4 linked regions of the Stegostoma tigrinum genome follow. The protein of the gene in region 1 purifies or fractionates together with the protein of each later gene. This does not show direct contact. Links are inferred from orthologs where the notes say so. Each region holds a gene or a part of one and is shown on either strand. Other genes may lie near its edges.

Region 1 (6,923 bases):
AGGCAATCCTTACTCCCAATTTCTCCACCTCGTCTGCTCCCAAGATGGAGCATTCCACTGCCGAACATTCCAGATGTCCTCTTATTTCAAAGGACCGTAACAACACCCGCTTCAGAGGTCGATAATGCTGTCAACCGCTACTCGCATTTTCCCGCACCTCTGCCCTAACCCAACGAAAACAAAGACAGAATCCCCCTTGTTCTCACATCACCACAGTAACCTCCAGCTCTAACGTATCATTCTCCGCCACCTACAATCTGACTCCACTACCAAGGGCATTCTTCCCTCCCTACCCTTATCTGCCTTCCACAGAGACCGCTCTCTGTGATCCCTCGTCCGTTCCACACACCCCACTAGCCCCACCACCTCCAGCACCTTTCCCTGCAACCGCAGGAAGTGCTACACCTACACCTCCACCCTCATCTCAATTCAAGTCACCAAGCAAACCTTCTACATTAGACAGAAGTTCACCTGCACATCTGTCAACATGGGCTCTTGCATCCGCCGCTCCCGATATGGCTTGCTGTTGTATTCAACGAGACCAACCACAGACTCAGGGTGTAGGCCCGAAACATCAGCTTTTGTGCTCCCAAGGTGCTGCTTGGCCTGCTGTGTTCATCCAGCTCCACACTTTGCTACCACTTTGTACAGCACCTGAACTCTGTTTGTAACAAACAACAACACTTTCCAGTCGCGAACCATTTCAACTCCCCCTCCCACTCCCCGGGTGACATGTTCATCCTGGGTATCCTTCAGTGTCACAATGACACCACCCACAAATTGGAGGAGCAGCACCTCATACTCCGCCTCAGGAGCCAACAACCTGATGGCCTAAATGAGGATTTTACCATTTTCAAAATCTCCCCACCCCCCCAGCCTCATCCCATGACCGATTCTCCTCCTCATCCCTGCCTACTTGATCTGACAATCTGTCCATCTTCTCTCCCACCTATCCACCCACCCACCTCACTGACTAATCCCCACCACTCTCTACCTACACTCACCTATCGCCATCCCAGCTACCTTCACCAGCCCCACCCCTCCTCTTTGTTTATTACTGAGGTCCCTTCCCTGCTCCCCATTTCTGAAGGAGGGTGCAGGCCTGAAACGTCAACTTTCCTGCTTCTCTGATGCTGTCTCGCCGGGATGTGTTCCTCCAGCTCCACACTTATGTTATCTGACTCCAGCATCTGCAGTCCTTACTATCTCCAAATGACATCCCAGTGTTTTTATCCAGAAACTACTAAACAGAGCAGAGCAATCAGCTATTATATTAGAATTGACAAGAGACTTTCACAAGCCCCATTGATGGCTTCAAACATTCCTCTAACACAAGGACTGGCAAATAATACAAATTTAGATACTTTTACCTAACTTTGGGCCTGAAACTATACCTTAAACCACAAATAGTAGACAATATTAAACAGTTTATCCTCACATGGGAATTGTGCATAAAACTAGCATCAGATTCAGCTCAAAGACATACAACAAACTTTTAGAAAGGCAGCCAAATGAGCTCACAGAGGAGTAAAAATAGACGCAGCACATAAAGCACGCCTGAAAAGAAAAGACAGAGTCACAGATGTATGGCATGGCAAAAGACTCTTCAGCCCAACCTGTCCATGCTGACCAGATATTCCTAAATTAACCTTGTACCATTTGCCAGCATTTGGCCCCATATTCCTATAAGCCCTTCCTATTCATATGCCCATCCTTTTAAATATTCTAAATGTACCCACCTCCACCACTTCCTCCAGCAGTTCGTTTGATACTTATTTCAATTAAACTGACTTGAGCAACAGCAGACTTGAATCTGTGCTGTATAACTTCTAAGATGGATTTAAATGTTTAGCTAGCCTAAACAAAAAAGGTTTATAAATTTATCAATGCACTACCAGTATACAAGTCCAATCCCACAAATATATTTTTCTGCTCCCTTTGCAATCCATAATCCTTTTCCATTAGGGTTAAAGTACACCACGATATTATAGTGAAAGCATTAGCCAGACATTACAAAGGTTGAAAAATCATTGGGAAAATCAGCATGGAAATGATTAGAAGGTGGAACTCTCGCCCACAGAGTACCATACCTGGTGCAACATCAGCATAGGTCCGCAGCCCGACTGCTGAAAGACCTTGGAGTCTACGACAGGCATGTCCAGTCTGTGTTCAGAAAGAAAAAAAAAATCAACATTAGAATCAAACTTCAAAACACAATGAACATGCCACTGCATCTTCAGTACTCTTTTTTGCTCACATCTGCTAGACCTTCTTCTCTCACACGAACGAAGGTAAACATTGATTTCCTTCCATGCAGTGGTTGACAGAGTACAGTAACCTGGGTCACAACTCCTTTCAAGCGTTAAAAACCCCATACAGGCATGCTGTCTGAAATTTCAATCAGCAACAAAAAAAAATCTGATGGCATTCAGCTGTTAGCTGTATCATTAAAATTGTGTGTATTTGGCAATATATATTGCATTCACTTCATATAATTCTATGACAGTGACCCAATAAGGAAATACCAGAATAAATTAGCATTATCATTGCAGAGGGATCATGAGGAGTGGAAGGGTGTAAGGTAAAGACATTAGGAGGCTGCAGGGTCTTGTCTTGGGGCAGGACAGAAGGGGATGGAAAGAAGAAACTCCAGGATTTTCGAGAGGGGGCAATTCGGGGTTTGGGGAGGAGGGAGGGGTCACAAGGTCTAGGGACACGAATTTTGAGTGGGGGGCAGGGAAGAGGCGTCTCCAGGATTTGGCGGAAGGGGCGGAGAGGGGCCTCTGGCATTTTAGGGGGGCGGGAGGGGTGGTGAAGCCTGCAGGCTCTGGGCCTGATCAGGACGACGCCTTTTGAGACGGGGGGAAGCAGCCTCTGGGGCACCAGGACTGACCTTGAGCAGCTGCCGAAACATCAGGCTCCAGATCCACATCGTTCCGTGCAGCGAATGACCCGGAAATACGTCACCGCCCTAACCCCCACCCCGACGCGCCGTCCGCCGCTCCGATTGGCTGCCCGGGTGGATGGGGGCGTGGCTAGAGGCGGTGAGCCCGCGAGCAGCTGGTGATAAGTGAGACAGTGACTAACACAGTACGGAAGGTTGGGCTCCACTGGCTGTACTTCACAACTGACAGCAGCTAGGGGCTAAAATAATGATATTGTTTTACTGGAGTCGGGAGAGCAGACGCAGCCCGGAAAGGAAGGAAAGGAAGGAAGGAAGGAAGGAAGGAAGGAAGGAGGGAAAAGAAAGAAAGAAAGAAAGGAAGGAGGGAAAGGAAGGAAAAGAAGGAGAGAAAGAAAGAAAGAAAACACCACCCACCCGTTGCGAAGGGCCTGGAACCGGCATCCCCAGAATATTCCCTAGTTCTGCATTGATTGTAACAGGAAATAACACCACTAGGTCATTGCCTCCCCTTTCTTTCTTCCTGGCAATCCTATCTACATTCAACTTGATGATGAGAGATTCCTGTATTAGACCTTGTCAAGTCACATGCTGAGCCTTTTGTGGATTCTGGATAAAGATCATGGATAATGTTTGAGGGGAGTCGGTTAGCATTAGTCACCGAAAGCCTTCAGTATCAACAGTATGAAATATTGGTCTCCCACAACCATTATCACGGAGAGATGACATCATGCCTCTGCGGAGGAGTCATTATGGACTAGGGTTTTGGGTCAATGTTGCAGTGACCTGCTGAATACCCTGCCTGATCTTCATTGTGTCTGTTGCTGAATCTAGTCTCTCTGGATGCTGTTTGACTTGGTCAGAACTTGTGTGTACTAAAGGATGAGGAGGGGGGAATTCATCTCCTTGTCAGGCTTTTGCCCCTTCCTGTTTGCTCCAGCAATTTCGGTCATAGTGCACGAATTCATTGCAGTGGAAACAGCGAATTTGGATAGCCTTTCCTTCTGCAGGTTTCTTGGATGGTCTAGACTGCTGGCTGAACAAGGAGCCCTCAACAGCAGCTACGTTAGCATTCCCCAAACCCCTGCAAAAATTATTTCAGACCAGGCCCAGGCTGTGTTAGTGTAAGGATTGGAACAGGGTTGGCCAAGTAGATTTCGTTGAGTATGAGATTCCTGACTGGGGTTGCTAAACTGGGTCAATCTGGAAGCCCTGGTTGACAGATATAAATAGGCCTCTCAGAGTGTCTCCTTACACTAAGGACTGCCCCTGAACTATGCACATGTAAATAAAGGGTGACCTGATGATGGGAAACTGGCCTGAGTACAGTTATTTTAGTTAGCATAGTGGATCAACTCATCACCGTCCACTGTTTTACACCCCCATGCATGATGGAACTCATCTATCGTAATGGCCAGTTCCTCCCTCAAGGTTGTAACCTTAGCTGGTGACAGGCATCTATGTGACATTGTGAACTCCTCTTTAACCACAGCATGGATTCCCCTCTTACCTAATGCTTATTCAGTTTTCATCATGCTCTTGTGACTATACACATAGACTTTTCTTCACTATTCAAGAAAGGGGAGGATTTCTTTCAATTACATTCAATTACATCAAAAGTCACAGGGAAATCATTCTTGCACATGCTTTCCAAGAACACATCGAACTTGTATATCCCACAAGCTGGGAACACAGCTATCCCTATTTTTTGACTAATTTTCATCTGGAATTGTTTAATTTTGGTTATACAGGGATGTGGTCTGCTTCAGGGAGGTAATACCTCTTGTAAATTGCTCCTCTTAAAGTTTGTTAATGTCATTGTGAAGATTAAGAGAAATGAGAGATGTATTAATTGTTTTTCAGCGCATATAAAAATGTGGACAGTTGGGATGTTGAAGGAAAGCTGTGAGACTGAGCTAGACAATAAACTCTGACCAATAATGAAAAGTTTGTGTGTTAGTTTCTACCTCCCCAGTCAACCTGGAAACCATTATCAGTCGGAGGAGAGGATAGTTGCCTGAAGGGGAGGTGGGAAGCTTTTTTATTCCAAACTGAGGATTATAATTTGATTTACTTTATGACAGTAATTATTACAGTAATTAGTGTTCACCTGGGGAAGAATGATAGAACAAAGTGTGAAATGTCAAAATATGATTTCCTGTTAAAGTTCTGTGAAGATGAACTTTTATGATTATTGGAAAAATGAAGTGACCACATGGTTGTGTCCTTCCCAAGAAATAAAACAAGGTATGGCGTTGGCTCTTGTGCTCCTGAGATGCTGCTTGGCCTGCTGTGTTCATCCAGCTTCACACTTTGTTATCATGGCGTTGGCTCTTGTTGCTTCCTACTAGAAGCAAAATCAGTTCTAAAGTATTTTCAGAACTAGAGGTTCAAAAATTGAACGTCTAGGAACAGGAGTAAGTCATCCATCCCTCATACCTGTACCATCATTCAATGAGATCATGGTTGATCCGTGGCCTAACTCCATTTCCTGCCTCAGGCCCAAATCTCTTAAGCCCTTCCTTTAACACAAAAATTAACTGTCTGAGATTTAAGATTAACAACTGACCCAGCATCCACTGTGGCTTGTGGAAAGGAGTTCTAAACATCCTTTTACTTTAGTCCTCTGGATATAAAGCCAGCATTCCATGAGCTTTCTTGATTAATTTCTGAACCTGTTTGTGGCATTTTAAAGATCTATGCACTGGAACGCCAAGTCTTTTTAGACATCCACTATATTTAACTTCATACCATTTAGAAAGTACCCTGATGTGACCTTTTTTGGTTCAAAATCGATAACCTCACACTTGCTTACACTGAACTCCATCTGCCATTGTTTTGTCCATTTACTTAGTCTATCCATATCCCTTCGTAATTTTATGCTATCATCTAACTACTTACAATACTGCCCAACTTTGTATCATCAACACATTTGGATATATGACTTTCTATATCATTATCCAAGTCATTAGTAAACAATGTGAATAACTGAGGCCCTAATACATCCTTGTGGACAGAAGTCAGATGAAATTAAGTTACAGTCCAACAGGTTTATTTGAAATCACCAGCTTTCGAAGCGCTGCTGTTCATCAGGTGACATCCTGCCAACTTGAGTAATCACCCATTGTGTATACTTTCTGTTACTCTCATTCAAACAGTTTCCCAGCCATGCCAGTAATTTCTCCTCAATTCCATGGGCTTCTACCTTAGTTAACAGTCTCTTATGTGGGATTTTATCAGATGCCTTCGAGAAATCTCTATAAACACTGAGTAGAGACATTCACTTGTCCACTACCTTAGTCACCTCTTCAAAAAGCTCTGGGATTTGTCAGACATGACCTACGTCATGAATCTTGCTGGTTCTTCTTGATTAACTGAAAAATTTTCAGTTTTTAGTTATGGCCCCTCCCCCATCCGCCCCGCTTTATTATAGTCTCCAACAATTTCCCCACCACAGATATTAGCTAACTGGTCTGTAATTCTCTGGTTTTCCTCTTTTGACTTTCTTAATAAAGCAGGCAAGTACAATTTTCCAATCAAGAATTCTGTGTCTAGGGAACTCCGAAAGATTACAGTTGGGATGTCTACAATGTATTTCCCTGCTTCCTTTAGAACCCTCAGATAGAAACCATCAGGTTCTGGGAATTTGTCATTTTTTAGTTCCATTAATTTCCTCATTACCAATGTTACGTGTGCGTTAATTTTGTTTAGTCCCTGTCCCCAATCTGTTATTGATTTTCTTAGGACTTTTGGCAATCCTGCTTTTCTACTGTAAATACCGAGACAAGGTAATCATTTAACATGTCAGTCATTTCTGCATAGTCATTGACAATATCCCCATTTTCAGTCTTTAGTGTGCCACAATTGTTCCTGACCACACGCTTTCCCTTTATGTAATTATAACATTTCTTCTTACTGATTCCAATGTCCCTGGTAAGTTGTCTGTCAGCATCCATTTTTAAAAAATTAGCTCTTATAAGCTACTTTGAGGCCCTTTGCTGGGCTTTGTAACTTGTCCATC
Region 2 (7,272 bases), on another chromosome or scaffold:
AATTTTGCCCTGGGCATTTTGATTTTCAGTTAGTTATCACTCCATTTATCAGTTTCAAGTCCTCCTCCCAGATACTTTGCCAGTCCAAAAGTCATTCCCAAATATTATATGTTCTGTTTGCCCTTTCCTCAGTCCTACATAAATAGTGGTGAAAATTAACAAATTCACTAAGAAACCATAAACAAAGCTCACAATTAAGGAAAGCACTTCTAATACTATTAAACATAGCAACAAAGGAATTAGGAGAGAGTAAGCAATCGAGTCCCTCAAGTCTGCTCTGCCATTTAACATGATCATGGCTAATCTTATCCTGGTCTCAACCCCACTTTCCTGTCTACTGCCCAAAATAACTTTGGAGAGGCTGGCATCCCACTTTACTTGCACGTGAAGCACTTGACAATGGTCTGGCTTTCTCAGAGTGAGTAGAACCTCTGACGCATCTGCAAACAGGGAACTTATCCGGAGGTTCACCTGGCTGACGTCGCTGTAATCACTACATCCCTCTCCCACTAAATTCAAGGATATAGGCCTGCCTCGTAGCCTCTCCTGAGGCAGTTTCACACCAAGTCTGGTTCGTCTAACTCAGACTCTGATAATGGGCAGCGTATACTGGACCAGCCTACCTCTCATGCTCGGAGCATTTTGGAAAGCCATCCTCTATCAGGCAGCGAAGGGGTCAAGGCTACAGCATCCGCATGTCCATTTTCATTTGCTGAAATTTCTTCCATGTTAGATGGAGGGAGGAAAGAACGAACTTATGGGTTTCCATAATCTTTCCAGTTGTTGAGAGATCAGTTAAATTTTGCTCCTGCCTGTTTGAAAGTTTACAGGTTTCATGGTGTCCACGTTCTTGTTCAGAACCGTCTCACCTACCCGAATTTTGTAGGTCGTGGATCTGATCTTGCCTCTTAACCAAGCAAATAACCTTATCCTACGTTTCTATAAATGCTGTGTCTTCAGTCACCCATTCACCTGCCATAATCTGTTCCTCACAACAGTCCAATGTCTGAGTATGCAAACTACATGGTGCTTTATCACTTTCTATGTCTTATTCTGATTCTATTAGTGTGTAATCAATGCCAATCATCCTCAAGAAATGTACCCTAACAGTTTGGTTGCTGTGATGTGAAAACACTATTGCTCCCTTACACTATAATCTATAGAGAACATTCCATTAATATCTTTCACATTTTTGAACTCCTCTTTTCCATGGTATCAACACCAAACTTCATCCCCTGAAGTAAACCGTCTCTCTCACGTAGAAGAGAGATGTCCGGCATTACTGTTCCTGATACCGTTTCACACTTCGACCCCCTCCCACCTCGGGTCTGAGAAGATCAGATTTAATCTGCTGCAGAATCTTATCCCCATGAACAACGCTGCTGGAGCTATCCTTGTAGTTGCACAAGGGTGGTCTGATAATCAACAGTTAGGTATTGAGCGAGGCTACAGGCTGTTTCTTTAAACCTGCCTTCAAGGTTTGGACTGCTCTTTCCACCAGACCACTGCATGATGGGTGGCATGGAGCTGTGTTTAAATGCTAATGCCAGTCAGCTTTATTAAATACTCAAATTCCCTGCTGGTAAATGATGGCACACTGTCCATTGCCAACACTTCCAGGAGCCCAGTACTGCCAAAGATGCAACTTTTCAATTGTTGTTGCCACGTTTGATGAATGAACGCTATGCACACCCAACTACTGACTGGGCATCCACTGTGACTAACATTGTTGAGATCATGAAAGGACTGGTGTAGTTGACTTCTAACAGAGACCAGGGTTTATCCAGCCATTCTCACAAACATGGGGGAGCTGCTAGCAGTGATTTTTGTCCTAGTTGACACTCTGGGCACTGTCCGAACAATACAGCCATATCTACATCCCACTCTCGTCACCCCTGAAACACTTCCACCGCAGCCCCGGTATCCCTTAAACTGAGTTATCAGTCATTCGCACGTGCATAGTTCTCAACACTGGTCTGGCTTCCTCAGAGCCAGGTCTAGTGAGCAGAACCTCTGACATTCTTGTTTATATCTGTCAGCCAGGGGCTCCCTGATTGGACCACATTAACAGCCACAATCAAGGACATCATATTCTATGAGGTCAACTTAGATGAAGTTGTTGCAATGACTACAGTCCCCACAGGCCTTTACCCACCTCTCATCAGAAATATATGTTTCTTTCTTGAATCTGATAATTGATTCCACCAATGATGCACTCCCAGAGAGGGACCTCTACAGGTTTCACAACCCTCAGGAGGTCGTTTCCCCTCAATTCAGTTTTGAGACCCCTTTTCTCTCACTGTACATTTACGACCTCTTTTTCTAGGCTATCCAGAGGAAAACATCTATTCGACGTCCACTGAAATCATTAATCCAACCCAAAAAAGGGGGCTTGTTTCCAGTAGCGGCGTTCAATAGAAGACCTCCGAAAGCATAACCGTTAATTTCACAATACCGGAGAAAAAAACTGCCGTTAAAAACAGGAACATTAAACTAAAGCCGGAAACAAAAAAAAGGTTGGATAAACTCGGTAGGTCTGGCAGCATCTGTGGAGATAAAGCAGAGTTGACGTTTTAGGTCCGGTGACCCTCCTTCTTATAAAGGAGGCAAAATTCCTCAGACTCTTGACTAAACAAACAGCAGAGATAACCGGCCGCGGTAAAAAAAACGACAAACTCCTCTCGTTCACAGGCAGTGACCGAAGGTGACCCTTCTTACCTGAGCGCCGGCGACAGCCGACCGATGAAACCTCTTCCGCGACAACACACCAAAAGTACTCTGTACAAACAAACACAAGTCAGCGTTACTGCAGAGATACAAAGATCCGGAAGCCGCTGCAATTAACCGATGAATTGCCGCCACCATTGCAGGGAACGCTCGCACCTTCCCTCCACGGAGCAGGCTCCTCAGCGCCGCCATTTTCCCTGCACCCTTCAAGGAGTCTCTTACTGACGTAAACTGCTGCGCGCGATAACGGAGGTGGGGGGGGAGGGGCCCTGACTGCTGGCCAATTGTAATATATATTAGAAGGGACCGTTTTGTCGTAATCGCGCACAATGTGGGGCGCGACGTGACCACGCCCGCCCGGCGGCGTTCACTTTCGCTGGTTTATCACCCCGCCCCCCCCAAAACCCACAGACCGATCCACCGTAGGCCCCGCCCCTCTCCCACGGCCGCCTCTTCGTCCAGGCCCCGCCTCCCCCGCCCAATCAGTAGCAAAGCAACAAATTGCCGCGAAAATTCAGCACGTCTGGCAGCATTCTCTGGAGAGAGAGCAGAATTCAGCATGGTAGGGGTGACCGATTGGTGGGGGTGGAGGGCAGAGGGAGATGGTGTGAGCAAGCTAAGAAATGGGTAATGTCCAGTCTGGAAGGAATCAAATGGTTTCTACACTAAACGAAATAGCAAATTACTGCAAACGCTGGAGGTCGCGGCAACTCAGACAGCGTCCATGGAGAGCCAGCGCTGCAGCTTGCATACCTCGATACCCTTAAGAAAGAAAGTCTTTTCTTGAGGCGACGGAAGAGGCAAAGGGTGAAGTGAAGACTTGGGACCGGCGCAGCTTTGAGACAGGGTGAGTGAGTCGGTGTTGCTGCATTGTGGAGTGGAGTGTGCACATTCATGTCGGTGCACGGCGTTGATGGCTCCACGGGTGCTGACTGACCCCGGCGTTTGTCGTTTTCAGTCTATATCTACTAACCTTTTGCAAACTACGATCGGGTCTGACGAACTGCAGCCGAACGCGAAAGTATTAACTCTGCTTTTTGAGCACGGACGCTGCCACACGTTCGCCCGGCGATTTGTGTATGGCCCGCCGTCGCATACTCCGCCCCTGTAATCCCTCCTCCCCCCGCCAAATCCCGCCCCCACAATCCCGTATACACACCGCCTCCCACTCCGCGACAAACCCCAGCTCTCTGATGAAGGGTCTAGGCCCGAAACGTCAGCTTTTGTGCTCCTGAGATGCTGCTTGGCCAGCTGTGTTCATCCAGCCTCACATTTTATTATCTTAGAATCTCCAGCATCTGCAGTTCCCATTATCTCTCAAACCCCAGCCCCAGCACAGTTCCCCTCCCGCCCCCCCCCCCGCAAACACAAGCCCCGCCTCAATCCCCCGGCAAACCCCAGCCCCAGCACAGTTCCCCTCCCGCCCCCCCCCCCGCAAACACAAGCCCCGCCTCAATCCCCCGGCAAAGCCCAGCCCCAGCACAGTCCCCCCCCACTGCAAAGCCCAGCCCCAGCACATTCCCCCCTCCGGCAAACGCCAGCCCCAGCACAGTCCCCCCCACTGCAAAGCCCAGCCCCAGCACAGTCCCCCCATTGCAAACCCCACCCCCACCACAATCCCCCCTGCAAACCCTGTCTCCACAATCCTCCCCTGCACTCCCTCCCCACAACCCCCACCCCTCTTTAGGTGGTCCACCCACCACCATTCACCTGTCATATGTGACCGTTTCCCGCTCCGTCCTGGACACTAGCTCCATCATTCCTTCCCTTGCTGTACCTGACAGGCCTTCAAAGCCACGTAACCCCCTACCTCCGGCCAGCTTCACAACTGACCCCACCCCGGGTCTGGAATGGATACTCTTCCCCCATCATCGGCCTCTGGGCTCGACGCCTCATTCCCAGACCACACCAACAATTAAGCCCCCAACCCGAACTCACACCAGCTAACAGTCTCCCAGAACCGACCACCCTCTCTGTCTGACTGATCCAATGACATTTTCCGACCCGAATGGAACAGACTTTCCCCATGGCCTTAGCCCCACCCCACCCTCCGCTTCCCTGGGTCCGATCCACCCTCACCAGTTACCCTGACCTCTCCGGAACCGAGCAGCTCCTCGCCTGCCTGACTGAGCCATGAACCACCAAATGCTGGAATCGACAGTTCCTGACCCAAAACACTCACTCATTCACTTACCTGGTACCCTACCCACCTGCCATCCTACTCAGATGGCATCCAACTATTCTGGCATTTTACTTCCCTCACCCAGTTGCCACTCAACCCCAGTTATTACTTACAGTTTTATAGAAGTTGTCAAAGTGGCTGGACATCGAAATCTCAGCACTTGGCACACTGATCGCTGCGTGGTTTTCATGCTATTTCACTTTGTTCGTGGATTTCACAGGGTCACAACAGGGACTGCCACCTTCAGGAATCATCAGCACAAATTACTTCTAAGGGTAAATGGGTAATTTTAATCTGGTCTGGATTGGAAATAGTGTTTCCTAATAGTCAGGCTTTAATTTCCACATCCAGCTTGCCCCATGACTGTTCAGGAGCTGTATACTTCCATCAAGTCACTTCATGCACTTTTGGACTCGGGTAAAAACCATCCCACCCAACCTATTTTCGTTAGACATGAGATAATGGGAATTGCAGATGCTGGAGAATCCAAGATAACAAAGTGTGTAGCTGGATGAACACAGCAGGCCGAGCAGCATCTCAGGAGCACAGAAGCCTCTCACCATCCCCCTCTCTCTGATGAAGGATCTAGGCCCAAAACGTCAGCTTTTGTGCTCCTGAGATGCTGCTTGGCCTGCTGTGTTCGTCCAGCGACACACTTTGTTATCTTCATTAGACATGTGCTTGTTCTGGGTATCATTCGAGCAAACTGACTCTGAATCACTCCAATGCATTTACATCCTTCCTTAAATAAAGAGACCAGAACTGCACACAGTATTTGAATTGTGAACTCTCCAATGCGCTGTGTAGCTGAAGTATAACGTCCTTACTTTATGATCATTTTTCTTGTATAAGATGTGTATTCCATTAGTTTTCTTAGTTATCTGTTGTACCTGGATAATAACTTTTTAGGGCTCATGCACTAGAACACCTAGATCTTTCTGCACTTTGGAATTTTGCGGTTGTTCTCTGTTTAGGTAAAATACAGTTTATTCATTCTGCACTCTGACTGTCCCAGGAGGAAATTTCCAGCAATTTAACCCCCACTCCTCCACGAATCACACCATTAGTATAAATGTTCATGACTATGATTCAGTCATCCACATGGTCAATTGCTTCTCTTTTGTAACATTATCCAGAATAAAACAGCTACACCGGGTTCTTTGATGAACTCAAAATAATGTATTTCTTATTACATAAATCTTAGGCTTACAAATAAGTGGCAAACACAGGTTAACAGTGATCCAGAATTAGATTGATTCCAAACACACACATTCTCACTCAACACAAAAAGACAACAGCCTGTCCAGAGACGATGCATTAACTAAACGCAAAAGGGACAAAAGCACCACTGTTGGCCCAGTGTTGAAAACACATAGAATATGATGACTTCGTAGTCAGCTAGGTTTTCTGTTGATGAAATCAAATTGCTGACAGCCGTTGGAAAATGATTGCAATCAACCTTACCAGAGTCTTTGGAAAGTAGTCACAGTCCAGTTTTCAGGCTTTACATGATAATAAGAAATATTTACCTTTAGGAACTTAATCAGGTTTCCATCAAGCCTTACCGAGAAAATGATTTCAGGAGAGAAGTTTGCTGCTTACTGATCATTGAGAGTGTAAAATAGAAAATGGAGTCCAGAAAGTGCTGCATGATAATTACTAGCATAGGAGCCCCCCTTTGTGATTTTTTTTTTCCAAAACCATATTTTTGTGTATCTGTGGTCATAAACCAAATTATTTTCTCCTTGAATTCATTGCTTGGCTTCTGTTTTTTAAAAAAAAATTCTGTAAACATCAGGTGGGTACAGCACATATTAAATTGTTGAATTCATTCTTTGTAAGACTACAGAGTACCTTTTTCAATCCAGGAAATATCCAAATTGTTTCTTATCTTCTCCTCTTTCATATAGTACTGACAGAATAATATATATTCCTAATACTACCAAGGTGAAAAATTTGTCTGCCAGGCTTAATCTATTAAGTTAGGTTGAGTTAACCTAACTTAAGTCTGCCACTCAACCAACTTACTGGTCTGCAACTTCCTGATGTCCTCTTCACAACAAACAAAAAATTAGCTACCATTTCTTCCTTTCCCCCACTTAAGTAATTGATGAAAATTGTAAAACTTTGAAGCTCCATCGCTCACCACTGCGGTACTCCAGTCGTTGCATCCTGCAAATCAGGAAAAAAAAATCCATTTTAGCCTATTCTGTCTTTTTGTGAGCTAACAAATCTTTAGTCCTTCTTTGCATGTTGTCCGTACACCATGTGCTTTTAATTTACACAGTGACCTTCTATGTGGTACCTTGTCAAATGCCTTCTCAAAATCCAATTATAGTACAGCAATGGACTGCCCCTTATCC
Region 3 (7,047 bases), on another chromosome or scaffold:
CCGAATACCTTTTAAAAACTTTGTAACTATACCTACATCCACCACATTCTCTAGAAGTTCATTCCACATGTAAACCATTGTGTAAAAAATAATGTTATCACTCAGGTCCTTTTTAACTTTCTCTTCTCATTTTTAAAATATGCCACCTAGTTATGAACTCTCCCAAGAAGGGAAAAGACACTAGTCATTCACCTTATCTCGGCTTCTCATGATTTTATGAACTTTAATAAGGTCACCTCTCAACCTCCTAAGGTCTGGAAAGGGGACTATTTTCACTACTGTTTTCATATCTCAAATCCTCGATTCCTGGAAAAATCATGGTAAATCTTTTTTGAACCCCTTCCAATTTAATAATATTGTTCCTACAACAGGGCAACCAGAAATGTACACAGGACTCCAGAAGAGGCCTCACCAACATCCAGTGCAACCCCCAACAATGATTTTCCAACTCCTATACTCAAAGGCTTGAGCAATGATAGCAAGCAGGCTAAACACCTTCTAAACTGCCCTGCTCACCTGTGTTGCAAGCTTCAAAGTATTATGAACCTGAACCCCTAGGTCTCTATTCTACAACACCACCCAGGGTCCTATCTTAATTGCGTAAGTCCTGTTTGTATTACCAAAATGCAATGCCTCGCATTAAACTCCAGCTGCCACTCCTCAGCACTGTGATCCAACTGATCACAATCTCTTTGTAATCTGGGATAAGCTTCTTCACTGTCCACTATGCCACCAATTCTGGCATCATCTGCAAACATTCTAACCGTGCCTCCTATACTCTCATTCAAATTATTTATATATACGCTTGTTAAAAAGTTCTTTAATGCATGTTGACAAAACAGGGTGTTAACTGCACATACCTCTGCTATTAAATCTCCCTCATTAATTTTATCACCTTCCTTTTTCTCCCACCGGGCTATAGTTCCCATTTGCATTGTGGGAGACAGAGCAGGCAATGCCACCTATAAATAAAATAATGATGAGTTACACAACACTTCTGTAACTGATTAAAGAACATCTTTGAGAAAATATCATTATTTTAACGAGTCCATTATTTGATCATTAGTCTAAATTTAACTGTCATGACAAAAATTACAGCAGAAACTAAAGAAATGGTAACCGATAAATACTGTGATGAGTTCAAAAGATTTTGTACATCAATCAGGGGTTTCATTGCAGATTAAGAGATTTATAGATTTCAGGATGGCTGGAAATACATCAACTTGCTTTTAGAACATCGCATCAGATCAGTAAACAGGTCTCATTTCTCTGAAAACACATACTTAGTCGAGAAACTTTCAGCTAACCTGTTCAAAACCTGAACAGTAACAAACTGGGCATTCAGCGTACAATGCAACTTTGACTATAACTCTCAACTCTGGTCAATTAGAGTTGTGTCCAAATCAAGCCACGCATGCTGTCGTACAGTACAGTAACAGGAATTACAAAAATCATTCTCAGTACTGTATTTCAAGAAAACTGGTCTGAACTTGCTATAGTTAGAAAAATGCAGAAACCAAAATCAATACAACTCAACAACGCAGGAGGTTTCACTCATACTTCAATTCGACACTTACTTCGTCCAAACTCCTCATGACCTGTGTCAAACATTAACACAGGTAGGCTACTCATGTCAGCATACAAACACAACCATCTCAGATTTCACTAAAAATAAATCTAAATTCTACTATGCTAAATGATTTGATCATTTTGATGCAGATGCCTCAAGTTATGATTGCAAGCCAAGGGATTTCTAGATATTCTCCAGAATCTACTGTAGTACACAAAGCAATAGCTGAACACACAGAACTGAATTTGTTTTACCAGGAAGAGAAAACCAGATATAGCAGCAATAAAATACTTCATAAACACATCAAAATATGCAAGACACCCAACAACTCAAAATAACATGGATGACAAAACAGCAGAAACTGACCCAAATATTACTGCAGTTTATGAATTAATACAACAGTTTTCATAGCCACTAACTGAAACTTCCTTACAGCTAACAAAGTACTTTTTAAAGTTACTGCTGTCAGAATAGAGGTAGCCAATTTATACGCAGCAAACGTTCACAACTACAATAACTATGTAAACTGCTGTGACAGCAATTTTAGAAATAAACATTCATCAGGGGTACTAGGGACAAATCACCACTTCTTAAAATACTCCAACCGCTGCCACCATACAGGGACAAGTGCATGCACCCAGTCAGCACCAACTCATTCCACTGTCGACATTACTCTACACTTGTTGTCTACCTCCATTCACCATCCCTATTCCCAAAATCTCAGCACATCCATCCACCCTCAAAGCCACACAACTCTCCGCTCATCACAGGGGAAACTTCACACGCGCGAACTGGCAGAATGGGCAACCATTCCAGGGCAGTGGCTGCCGAACATGGTGCCACTGCCGGGTTTTTCTTTCAACTTCTATCCAAGGGAAGGCGGAGCCTCAGTTTCAGCATCTCATCCAAAAGGCCGTGCAGCAGCCACCGTGCTGGAGTGACAAAAAGCCTTGGCATTTTTGGGGCTGGAACCCAGATCTTGGCAATCAGTGGAGAACATATAGCTACAGACAGAACAGGAAAAGCCTCAGGAGCTGACGAAGGAACGGGAATCAAAAGGCTGCCACCTCTGTGCTCTAGCTCTCCCTATTCCCAAAATGTTGCTCACCAACTGATGTGGGGGGAGGCTGTACCATCTCCTGGCTGTGGCCGTGACCGGTAACGCGCTCTTGGGCAGCAGAAAGTGCTGGGGGCCGGGGCCCTGCCTCCCGCAGGCGGTGAGCGAGACCCAGCAGCGAGAAGGAGGCGGCCCGAAACCGAGCCCCGCAATCGCCGGTCGGCGCTCGGACCGGGAGCCGGGCTTCAGCCGGACGCACGGCCTGAGCCTAGCGGCCTGACGGAGCATGTCGAGGCCGGAGAACGGAGCTGAGAGGGGCGTACAGGCTCAGCGTCTCCTCAATGACCTCTGCCGTACGGCAAAGGCCACAGTCGTAAAACGGATGTGACATCACGGAGACTCACTCTTCGGTTCCATGGACATCCTTTACCTTTCACATGATGACGTGGCACCTTAGTACGCCGCAGGCCGTTCAGTCCATCGTGACTGCCTCAGCTGTTCACAGTACCATCATTACCCATTCCCTTCACAGAATCACGCAGTGTTTCGGTGCAGGAGACCATTCAGGCCCTCGGCACTGCACAAGCTCTTCAAATGACCGTCATTACCTATTACGAAGATCCTGCTTTTTCCTTATACCTTTCCACATTATTTATTTAAATAAAAACAACAACATGCCTGGACGTGTTGTTTGAAATCTTTATGGGTCTCAAGGCATGCTTAGTCACCTACCTCTCAACCAGGAGGCCAGGGTTGAAGTCATTACCTGTTCCAGAGGTGTGTAATTACATCTCTGAACAGGTTGATTAGAAAATACCTACTCTAAGAAGAGCGTTCTTGTAGTGATACTGTCCCTACCACCAGACCAGGAGGCCTATGATCAAGTCCCACCTCGTTCAAAGGTGTAACACAACATATCTGAACTGTTTATTTATAAATATCTACTGTGAGGAATCCTACCATTGGCAAGTTATTGGCAAGTATTACTTTCCAGCATTACTGATAATTTCTTCTGTGCCATCACTAAAATTAGACATGGGTCAATAGAACTTTAATTAATACAGTTGGATTTGTCCACAGTCTTACAGAGAAGGCACAACTGAGTGATTTTCCACAGTGTCACGTAGATGATAACCTTGTAGGAGTACAGGAAGGATTCAGCTGGTTTCGGAGCACAGGTCTTGACATCTAAAAAGGTTCCTGGAACTGTACTGCAGGGAAATTACCTAGTCGTCCTGACTAATATTTATTCCTCAAATCAATATAGAATAATAGAATCATGATTTTTTTGTATTTAATTCCCCTTGTGACAAGTGATACAACTCTGTTAGGAGGAAAGCTATGTTCTGACATCAGTAAATTTGGCAATTATATCTTCATTAATGCATTCAACCAGCCCAATCATTCAACCAACCTTCTATGTATGTCAGTGTACCAGCCCTTACACCACAAGCTTTTATTATTGCAATAACTGCTAATGGGGTAGTTCAGAAAATCAAATAATCACTAGAGTGGAAGCAGGCGAGTAAGCCTGTTGAGTCCACACCAACCCTCTGAAAACCATCCCACCACTTACCCTATCCCCATAACCCTGCATTTCCCATGGCTAATCCACTCGGCCTACACACCCCTGAACACAATCTACCTAACCTGCACATCTTTGGACTATGGACTGAAACTGGAGCACCTGGAGGAAACCCACGCAGACATGGTGGGAATGTCTGTGTGGAGTTTGCACAGTCACCCAAGGCTAGAATCAAACCCAGGTGTCTGGCACTATTAGGCAGCAGTGCTGACCACTGAGCCACCATGCCACCCTAGCAACAAATTATCTAGTCATGATTGCATTGCATGCTGTACACTCATCTTCATATTCTTTTTTAAGAATTCCTTTAGCATTACAGTCATCATATTAACTGCCCTTCGCAAGATCAGTGTTGACATTTTATGTGACTGTAACAATGGTGCATTCTCTCTTTCTGTCCTGATTAGCTGCTCCAGTCTCAAAGCAGTCAACTATATCCATCCTTCAGCACTACCTTGTCTCACCTGTATGGTTCATTTTGATATCTAACCTTCCATCTGACAAGAGGCACTCTAGCCCCTGTGAACATCCAGTTACCTTTCGTATGCTCCAAAGTTTATCATAACCTCCCTGTATGACTCTTTTATACAAAAATACTGATCATGACTTGTAGTGATGGGCCAGTTTTGATATACATGATAATAACAACCAGTGAAATTTACCATTGGGTCAATTCCCCAACAGTCAGAGTGTTATCTCGTACTTAAAATAGAAGTCATTCTTTTTATTTCAACTTAGAAGTTCAATGCTTTACCTCTTGACTCAAGTCTCTTGTTGCAGGTTCAACTTGGCAGTGTATGGTGTTAGTATTCTGCGAGACCTTGAGTTGTGCTTCAAATACTTCATTATTTTAGAAGATGGCATATTTCCAGATCCGGTGCCATCCCTCCCTCTTCCTGAGCATATCTTGCAATTTCTGTTGTTGATGCGGCGCATTTGCATTACTCAACTTAAATTCTCTCTGGCCAGTAGGCTTAGGTCTTTGCCTGTAAATGGTTTTGCAGTTGACCAGTAGCATTCCACAACTGCTAGAATTCTGATTCCAACTGCAAGATCGTCATTCCCCTCCCATGAATTGGAATCAGTCCAAACTTTTTTTATTTTCCAATTTTCCTCAACAGATATTCTATCAATACCAGTCCAACAATCTGTCAAGAGTTGTGTGCTGATTCATTTCAGTTCAAGTACAAAACAGCAACATCACTTCCAATAACAGCAATGATCACTTAATTATGATGTTCCTGCTTGAGGGAATCCAAAATTAGGGGTCATATGTACAAGATAGTCACTCAAATCTAATAAAGAACTTAAGAGAAGCTTCTTTACTCAGTAGTTATGATGTGAAACTTGCCATGTGGAATTGTTGAGACAATTATAATGGATATATTTAAGGGGATGCTAGATAAGAACAAGAGGGAGAAAGGAATCAAAAGTTACACTAAAAGCTAATGCTGGACGACAGGAATCTCATGTGCAGCATTAATAAAAATATAGGCCCCTTGGGTTGAATGGCTCACTTCTGTGCCGTAAATAGTGAGCAACTATATATAAAATTGCAACAACTCTATACATATAATCTTCATCTTTAACACAATAGCTGTTCACAATTGAGAGATAAGGGCTTTTTTCAGGATAACACAGAATAAAATCCCTGCATAACAAAGGAACTTCATACATATTTTATTGAAAATGCAGTCTTTTTTTAAAAACACCAGTATCTTTATATAGTCAATCCTCATCATAACAAACTTCATTTTTTTTCCTCTGGATGCCATCATATGGACTAATTGAGTTGATGCAAATCAAATAATCTTGGTTATAACAAAACAGTTTCTTATAATAGATATAAACTAAATACACTGCACCATTTGAAATGTTTAGTTCCGTTAAAACAAACTGCACAGCAGTAATTATTATGGCACTTACGCTAAATGTCTAGTACTATTGATGTCTTTTGACCATAGCGCCAGAACATATAATATCCAAAACAGTGGCAATACAAACCTTTTTTTTAAATTAAATAGCCCGTCGTGAAAAAGTAATTCAAATTTGATAAATATCCAATTATAAAAAGCTTACTGTTCCAGTTCCCAACAGATACAACTAAATTAGTTACATCCATATTCAGTTCTGGAGTTAATTTTATAAATCTCCAAACAGTGGTATAGCAGTCACATAATGGTCAATTTAAAAAAAACTAAACAAAAAACAGGAATACTGACTCTGAAAAGCAATCATACTTGAAACATTTGTGATATTATTATGATTTTTTTAAAATGGAACAGAATTACCAAGACAGAGAAATCCTTCAAAGACTGCACTTTTTCCAGAAATCTTAATCTAGAAATCCTATTTCTTCTTTACCTAACTTCTAATTTTCATTATTTAATTTTGTAGAAATCTGATCCTAAATGAGATCAATAAAATTCCACTTGGCTCTAAAGATCAAGGCAGTATCGCTTGCTGTATGTGACACATTTTGAAACCTGAATTGTTTATCTAACCAATGTATCACAGACCAATATATTTGTGTATGGCTCAGTTTCATTAAAGGGAGAACACACACACATGCATTATGCCTTTCATTCTGGGCAATCAAATTGCAAATAATAAATTGGCCTCATTACACACAAGACTAAAAATCCATACCTTTCTTGTAATCTTATTTTAAATGCATTTATGGCCTTCATAAATGCCAAATCTCCAGTAAGCTATTCTGTGACAGGACAGCAGGGGGAACTTGATGCTCACCCAACATTTCTTTTATTGATCGGAGAGAAGTCAGTACTTTCCGTTTAAACTTGCAAGTCAAAAATTTCAAGTTGACAAAAAAAT
Region 4 (6,958 bases), on another chromosome or scaffold:
CCCTAAACATGATCCTAACTAAGGCCTGAATGGAGAACAGTCAAAAAATATCCTCCATTTAACATAACTGGCACCAGTATATTTATCAGACCGAAGTGGGTGCAATATCAAACAACACATTCTAAGCACGCCCATAACGTTCTGTTCATGCATGCTTCATGCTACAAAATGCCTCCAGGAGATACACGGCCACTAGAGAATTCACTTCATGCTTAGATAATATGCATTAGATAGACTGCTACTGTCTGAAGCTACCAGTTTAAATCAGCTATGCTTCTTTTCCATTAAATTAATTCTCCTTCCACAGCTTGAAAATTTCCACTTTAACAATATTTTTGGTCACATACACCAAGCCGATTTATTTCAAACTACATAACGCTATCTGCTCCTGCGTTGCCTCCAGATTATATTACGTCGTCTGTCTTTTCATCATCAATTTCTAATGGACTCCAGCTTAGCCAAAACACTGCTACATCCAAATAAAAGAACAGCAGATTAAAATAAAAGCAAAACACAGCTGATCTGGCAGTATGCGTAGCAAGGGGAAGAACGAACTTTTCCAAGTCCAGTGTGACTTATTTAGAACAAAAATTCACTTTGGCCTTGAAATATTAATTGTTTTTCTCACCATAAACGCTCCCATAGCTAACGAGATTTTCCAGTGCTTTTTCTAAAAAAAACAATCAACCTCACCCATTGCTGATTCACTAATGCCCTGCTCTAATTACTTCATAGAGATTTTCTGAGATCTTTTGAAGCTCTATACATGGGTTGTGAATTCTGCCTCCATGCCCTTCTCCCCTCACTACCTATGATAGAGCTTTCAGCAGCCTTGCTCCTCTTTAGTGAAGTTCCTTTGACACCTTTAGAATCTTCTCAAACTGCGTAAACTTTCAGTACCATCCTAGCATCTCACTTTGCAGGTTGGTATTCATTTCCTATACCTATTTGTGAAGTGTATTTTACATTACAGGCCTTCTCTCAGTGAACCATTGTTGTCTGATGGGTTCCTGGATAGCTTATAAATCTTTATAGAACACAGCATATAAATGAAAGCAATTTTTTTTTCTACAAACACCAGAAAGATTACAATATCACACCTTAGTGGCTAAAGCTCATTTGAGAGGCTTTACAAATAAATACAACACGGGCAGTTCACAGCCAGCTGGATTTGGCCTTAATCCGATCTAAGGTTCATTAATCTGCAAGAATCCTAACAGGGAATGAAGCAGTGAGGTCAGACAATTGTAGTAACACAAAGGTTCCTCTGGGTGAAAGTTTGCTCAGCAGAGACTGCAGATGGAACCTTCTGATCCGCACAGCTCAAATACACATTGAAAAAACTCACTGAGCTATTGAGGGATCTTCAAAGCACCTTTTGCAGAATTTATGTTAATGGAAAAATAGGCAAAAATTGTCCATTGAGTAGCTACTGTACTTGGATCAAGATCACTAACTACTCTGTTCACTGTGACTCAACAGTCACACTATCATATCTCAGTCAGAAGGTTGAGTTCAAGGTGCACACCAGAGATTTAGTTAAAGAACAGACTCATATTGCAGTGAATAAAGAAATGCTGCACTGCTGCAAGTATTGCCTCCCAGATAGGACATTATAAATTGAGCAACCATTTGCCTTCCCAGACAATGCAGAAGATCCCATGATACTATTTCGAAGAGGACCAGAAAATTTTCCACATTTGTGCAGACCAATGTTTATCCCTTAGCCAACTTCACTAAGCAAATTATCTGATCAAAAGAATGCTTGAAAAATGCATTTATTGCAAAATACTACAAGATGTATAGAGATCATTAAAGTACAATACAAGTTCTCACATCCTTTCTACCAGGGTTCAAAATGAAAAGAATCAGGTTAACCTTTTGGGCAAGGCAAATATTTGATCAAGTTTGTAGAAGTTACACCTGTAGCTTTTCTTTCCCCCATTTAATAATCAAATCATCCACCATACAGATACTGCCTTTTATATTTCTCATTTCTATAGATCACCATTCCTTCACACTTGCAAAACAAATTCCCTTATTCCCAAATCAGAATAACTTGTTTCGGCTTACAATTCGGACTATATGTAGGGCAAATCGTCTTCAGTCCCTTTTGGATAACATCAAAGCAAATACGATCGTTTTGAAGTGAAAGGGAGTCCTCCTACTTAATGAGCAATTATTTTTTCACCAACAATCACAGAAAGAAATTGGTCACCTAACTCATCATTCCCTATAAAACAATGTTGTACATAACTTTGAATACGACATTTCACCTCAGTGATCAGCAGTGAAGTACTGCTGGATATTAACAATTCTGAAAGGACTAATGAAACGTTAATGGGGGGAGCGGGGAGGGCGAGCCGATCAGGGGAAGGAGGTGGGAAAAGAGGGAACCTCAGGAGGGTGGGTGAAGAAGTCTGCCCCGGGGTGGAGATTGGGAAAGGAGCGAACCTGCGGATGGGAAAGGTGGTAGTAAAAGAATTGACCGGGGAAGGGGGAGGAGTTCACCCCGGCGGAGGAGGGAGGTGGGCGGGTATGCGAGCGGAGCCTAGAAGGAGGAGAGGCGACCCTGAGGGAGGAGGCCGGCCCCGGGTAGGGGTGAAAGTAGGCCCGTGGAACGTGGCTGAGGATAATGGGAAACGACCCCGGGAGAGGGGAGCGGTGAAAGCTGACCCAGTCAAACATATCCATAGCATAGTCTCCCCGCTATTGCTCAGGGTGACAGCTTGTCCTTGGCCAAGGCCTCGGGCCTCCTCGGCGATCTCTGTCTCCCACCGGCTCGAAGATGAGCTCCGTCCACCCTCCCGACCGCCCGGGTCGGAGAATCTCTCCAGTGTCCCCTACCTGCAAGCCCCCCGGGTTGCGGCTAGCGGTGAAGCGGCTCAGACTCCGTGCCAGGCACCGGGAACGAGACAACATGGCTGCGCTGCAGCTCCAGCAGACAGACCCGAGACCGGAAACCAGCTGGCGCATACCAATACCAAAGATCATGGGGTGGAGGGAAGTTAGGCGGTGATGTGGTGTATTGTCTGAAATATTAGAAATAAACCCGCTTCAGCTTCTCACCCGAGTAACAGCCATCATAACTCTATACGAAAAATCGACTTTTCGATGAGTGTTCGATTCAGTAATCATGATACACTTACTTTGATAGAATGGTTTGGCCCAGTCTGCTGCTGGACTATATGAATATTAACAATAAGGGGGATAGTTAACAAATATTGTAACACCATGTCGGTAGTAAAGAGGTGCAAACTAACAATGTATATATCTAAAACTAAATATTTAGGAACAAACATTATTTTAATTTTTCTTTAAAACAATACTGTCATATAATTTAGATGTTTGCCTCGTTAAAATGTCATCCACCCCCTTACGCTCTTGGGCTGTGCCACACCCTGGTCGTTTGCATAGATGTTAGTAGGTGGCTTTGGATTGGTGGTTGTGGGTACGCCCTTTTCCTCCTTTTAAGGAGTGAGGATGAATGAATGCGGACGAGAGTTGCTGGAGTGATAAGTGTACTTGAGAGGAGAGTTGTGCGGTGAGTGTGGGTTACTGTATTATAGTCATCCTTATCTTTAATATTTAATGTTCATCGTGAATGTGGGCTGCAGTACTGTCAGAACTCTTTACCCTTGATGCTGAACTTTATGGTGAGTGTTGTGTTCCCGGACAATCATCACCCTTGCCCTAAATGTTGAATGCTTATGGTGAGTGTGGGTTACCGTATTATCACCAGTCTTTCCCCCTTAATAATGCATGTTCGTTATTGTTATTTAATTGCTGCTTATTTGGATTAACGACACGGTAATAATTACGTTAAATGATATACTTGTCTCTGATATGCCTTCCTGATTGAATAAGGGCTCTTGGCGCAGTGGCATTGTCTCGTCTTCTGGCCTAGAAGGTGTGGGGCAAGAACTGCCGTCCTGTTTGACTATCAGTTGCTAACTTGAGAGATTATGGACGGATGACTGAGACTTTTTTCCGCTCTCTTTATTACTGTTTTAACAAGATAAAACTCAGTGGCCCGTCTTGGCTGTGTTTCTGTGCTAACGATTTATGAAGCCATCTCAAGGCACTTTGCTCTTCTATTGCATAGACATCATCTGGCGAAGGGATAAATTCAACTTGGTGCCCAGTCTCGTTTGTAATATTATTTTTAAAGTCCAATTGCTCTCGGGGGCAAATAACTCTCTTTTTGCCGTGTTGCGTTTTCTGATTTTGTTTTTAACTAAAGTGCGTTGTGAGTGAAAGTTGATCTTGGGTACAGGTATCAAGCAAGGTTTATGTGGATGAGCCGCCGGCAAATCGATCATTCTCCGTAAATTCTGTTGTTAGTGCGTTAATGAAATTACGCCGCCTTTATTCAATGGTATTTTATTCTGGCTAAGACCAAGGTTTGTTTATTTCTTTCTGGCCACATTTTTGTTTGCAGATTTTATCATTGTTTTTAACGCTGTTGATTTGAAATCATCCAGGAGATTACTTTTAGACTGGAGAAGCTGCCCTATGCAAGATTTCGTTGACGTCCTTAGAAATATTAAAATCGTTTGAAATATATTTATTTGGGAGACCATAGATAACTTTTTTAGAAAATGTACCTTTTGGAGCCTTTAATTGAACGAAGTTATTTCGAATTTTCATCCAGTTGATATCTTTTTAAGGCAAGAATAATTCAATGTATGATAGGATAGATATATCTGCAGCAAGTCAATGCGAAGAGGGGCCGGGCTGTTAACCCGATTTGAAATCTCTTAGGTGTCGCAGGTTTATTAGTTATTAGCTGCAAACTGTTGCTTGCTTCCGTGTTTCGCAGGATACGAGATACTACTTGCATTTTACAAACGATTTCAGAGCAGTTGCGATCACAAACTTAAAATTTAAGTAACACTCCGCATTGTGTCTCATCTCGTGCAAGGTCAGTAATTACAGACATTACGAATTCCGACTTAACATTAAGAAAGTCATAAATAAAAACTAAATCCTTTATATGTGGAGAGTCGGCGCTGATTAACCTATAAATGTGTTATGTTTGTATTTGAAATGTAGTAAAAGTGCAAAAAATAAGTGCATTCCTTCATAAAACATCATTAAATGTAATAGTCGTACATCATCACTTATGATCTTCCTGTATTTGAAACGGAAAAATTGGGTTCAATTTTCAACCTACACTTTAGAATCCGGTTCTAAATGTGAGGTTAACGACTGCATCAGTGCTGTGGCCAAATGGAATAGAAAATTTTTAATTTCTTTAAGTTTTTGTTTTAGCTTGGTACTGCACGTGGGCTAGGACGTTAGACAGAATATAGAACAGCCTCCAGTCTAGGTTATTTCGTCCTCAGCACCTCCCCTTCCCCTCTTCTCCCATCCAGTTCCAGCTGTATGTTTGGAGTACTGAAGAAGGGCTTCAAGTGTTGACTGTATGTATTTCTCTCTCCATGGTTGCTGCCAGACCTACTGTGTTTCTCCAGCAATTTTTTTTTTGTTCTGTTGTTGCAAGTTTGGGAATTTCAGCCATAAGGAAGATTAGGACTGTTTATTCACCTTCAGAGTGTGTGTGCTATTTGAATCCTGTGTGGAGGTACGCTACTGTGGCTAAGTTTATTTTATCTTCGTGTCCTGGATAGAGAAGTTCCAATAGCAAAGGCCAGTCGAGTGGGTAGTTTCTTCTTTCCTTCCAGCCTCGCAATGCAGAAACCCATTGTAATGTTACTAAAACAGATACTGAAAATGCCGAAGAAAGGAGAAAATCGACCTCAGCTGGTCTGGCAGCATCTGTGAAGTTAATACTGGGAGTCCCGCATGACCGTCTTAAAAACTGAAAGGTGTTTGGCTGATTTGAGCAATGACCACAATGTAGCAAAAAAAAAGGAAGCCTTTTGAGTTTAGCAACTGGATAAACTCAGTCTACCAACAGGATGGTCTCTTGTATAATAGAACAAAAACAAACTGATGAAGAAACTCAGCAGGTTTGTCAGTATCTGTGAATAGAAAGTAGAGTTAGTGTCAGGTATAGTGACCCTTTATAGATTCAGTGTACAGTGTGGAAACAGACCCTACAGCCCAATTAAGCCAGTCCTACTTGCCAGCATTTGGCCCATAATCCCTCTTAAACCCTTCTTCTTCATATAACCATCCTGGTGCCTTTAAAATGTTCTTACTGTACCAGCCTCCACCCCTTTCTCTGGCAGCTCGTTCCATACACTCACCATCTTCGGCATGGAAATGTTGACCCTTGGCTCCCTTTCAAATCATTTCTCCTTTTATCCTAAACCTATGCCCTCTAGTTTTGGACTCACCTACCCTGGGAAATGGCCTTGGCTATTCACCCTGTCCATACCCATCATGATTTTATAGACCTCTATAAAGCCACACCTCAGTCTCCAATGCTCCAGGGGAAAAATGCCGTAGCCTATTCAGCTTCTCTATAGCTCAAACCTTACAACTCTGGCAACATCATTGTAAATCACTTCTGAACCCTTTCATGTTTCACAAGATCTGGTAAGGTGACCAGAACTGAATACAGTATTCCAAAAATGGCTGAACAATGTCCTCTTTCAAAGCAGAATGCTCCCTTGCACTGGACTTTCCTTCAGGGAAAGGAAACAGTTTCTCGTTATTTTACTAATGTTTTCTCTTATGGATCATTGGCACAATTGTAGATTAGTCATTCCACCACCTAATTTTTAATTTTGTGCTTTGAAGTAGTGGTCCATGTGTTATAAAGTGTAGTTTCCCTTATTGGTTATCCTGCTGTTACTTTGGCTGTTGATGAAGGAGCTCCATATCTATTTCCATGCATAGCTGAGAATTGTCCATCTCTTCCCTGTCTCATTTGGAGGAATGATGCAACAAAAAGTTGACTCTGTATCGGATCATGCCAAAAGAAACTCTTGCAGTGAGTTGTTTGGGTGTAGAATTCACTGCCTGTGTGTGTGGAGGTGGATTCATT

Evidence for each region.
Region 2: the proteins of dldh (region 1) and pdhb purify together in Homo sapiens (affinity purification with mass spectrometry; 3 studies listed by BioGRID and IntAct, counting the BioPlex papers as one, with this or other methods). This does not show direct contact. The link is inferred for Stegostoma tigrinum from reciprocal best matches to the Homo sapiens genes DLD and PDHB.
Region 3: the proteins of dldh (region 1) and dlat purify together in Homo sapiens (affinity purification with mass spectrometry; 4 studies listed by BioGRID and IntAct, counting the BioPlex papers as one, with this or other methods). This does not show direct contact. The link is inferred for Stegostoma tigrinum from reciprocal best matches to the Homo sapiens genes DLD and DLAT.
Region 4: the proteins of dldh (region 1) and dlst purify together in Homo sapiens (affinity purification with mass spectrometry; 3 studies listed by BioGRID and IntAct, counting the BioPlex papers as one, with this or other methods). This does not show direct contact. The link is inferred for Stegostoma tigrinum from reciprocal best matches to the Homo sapiens genes DLD and DLST.

What each region holds. Positions count from the first base shown.
Region 1 is NC_081378.1:53,699,809-53,706,731, forward strand, and holds the start of dldh (dihydrolipoyl dehydrogenase, mitochondrial), read right to left. Parts: upstream 3,007-6,923; 5' UTR 2,933-3,006; coding exon 2,894-2,932; intron 2,164-2,893; coding exon 2,091-2,163; intron 1-2,090. UniProt on the Homo sapiens protein: Lipoamide dehydrogenase is a component of the glycine cleavage system as well as an E3 component of three alpha-ketoacid dehydrogenase complexes (pyruvate-, alpha-ketoglutarate-, and branched-chain amino acid-dehydrogenase complex).
Region 2 is NC_081364.1:52,374,832-52,382,103, reverse strand, and holds the start of pdhb (pyruvate dehydrogenase E1 component subunit beta, mitochondrial), read right to left. Parts: upstream 3,017-7,272; 5' UTR 2,920-3,016; coding exon 2,884-2,919; intron 2,779-2,883; coding exon 2,719-2,778; intron 1-2,718. UniProt on the Homo sapiens protein: The pyruvate dehydrogenase complex catalyzes the overall conversion of pyruvate to acetyl-CoA and CO(2), and thereby links the glycolytic pathway to the tricarboxylic cycle.
Region 3 is NC_081385.1:12,808,261-12,815,307, reverse strand, and holds the start of dlat (dihydrolipoyllysine-residue acetyltransferase component of pyruvate dehydrogenase complex, mitochondrial), read right to left. Parts: upstream 3,004-7,047; 5' UTR 2,916-3,003; coding exon 2,679-2,915; intron 963-2,678; coding exon 861-962; intron 1-860.
Region 4 is NC_081363.1:17,465,021-17,471,978, reverse strand, and holds the start of dlst (dihydrolipoyllysine-residue succinyltransferase component of 2-oxoglutarate dehydrogenase complex, mitochondrial), read right to left. Parts: upstream 3,011-6,958; 5' UTR 2,995-3,010; coding exon 2,848-2,994; intron 1-2,847. UniProt on the Homo sapiens protein: Dihydrolipoamide succinyltransferase (E2) component of the 2-oxoglutarate dehydrogenase complex. The 2-oxoglutarate dehydrogenase complex catalyzes the overall conversion of 2-oxoglutarate to succinyl-CoA and CO(2).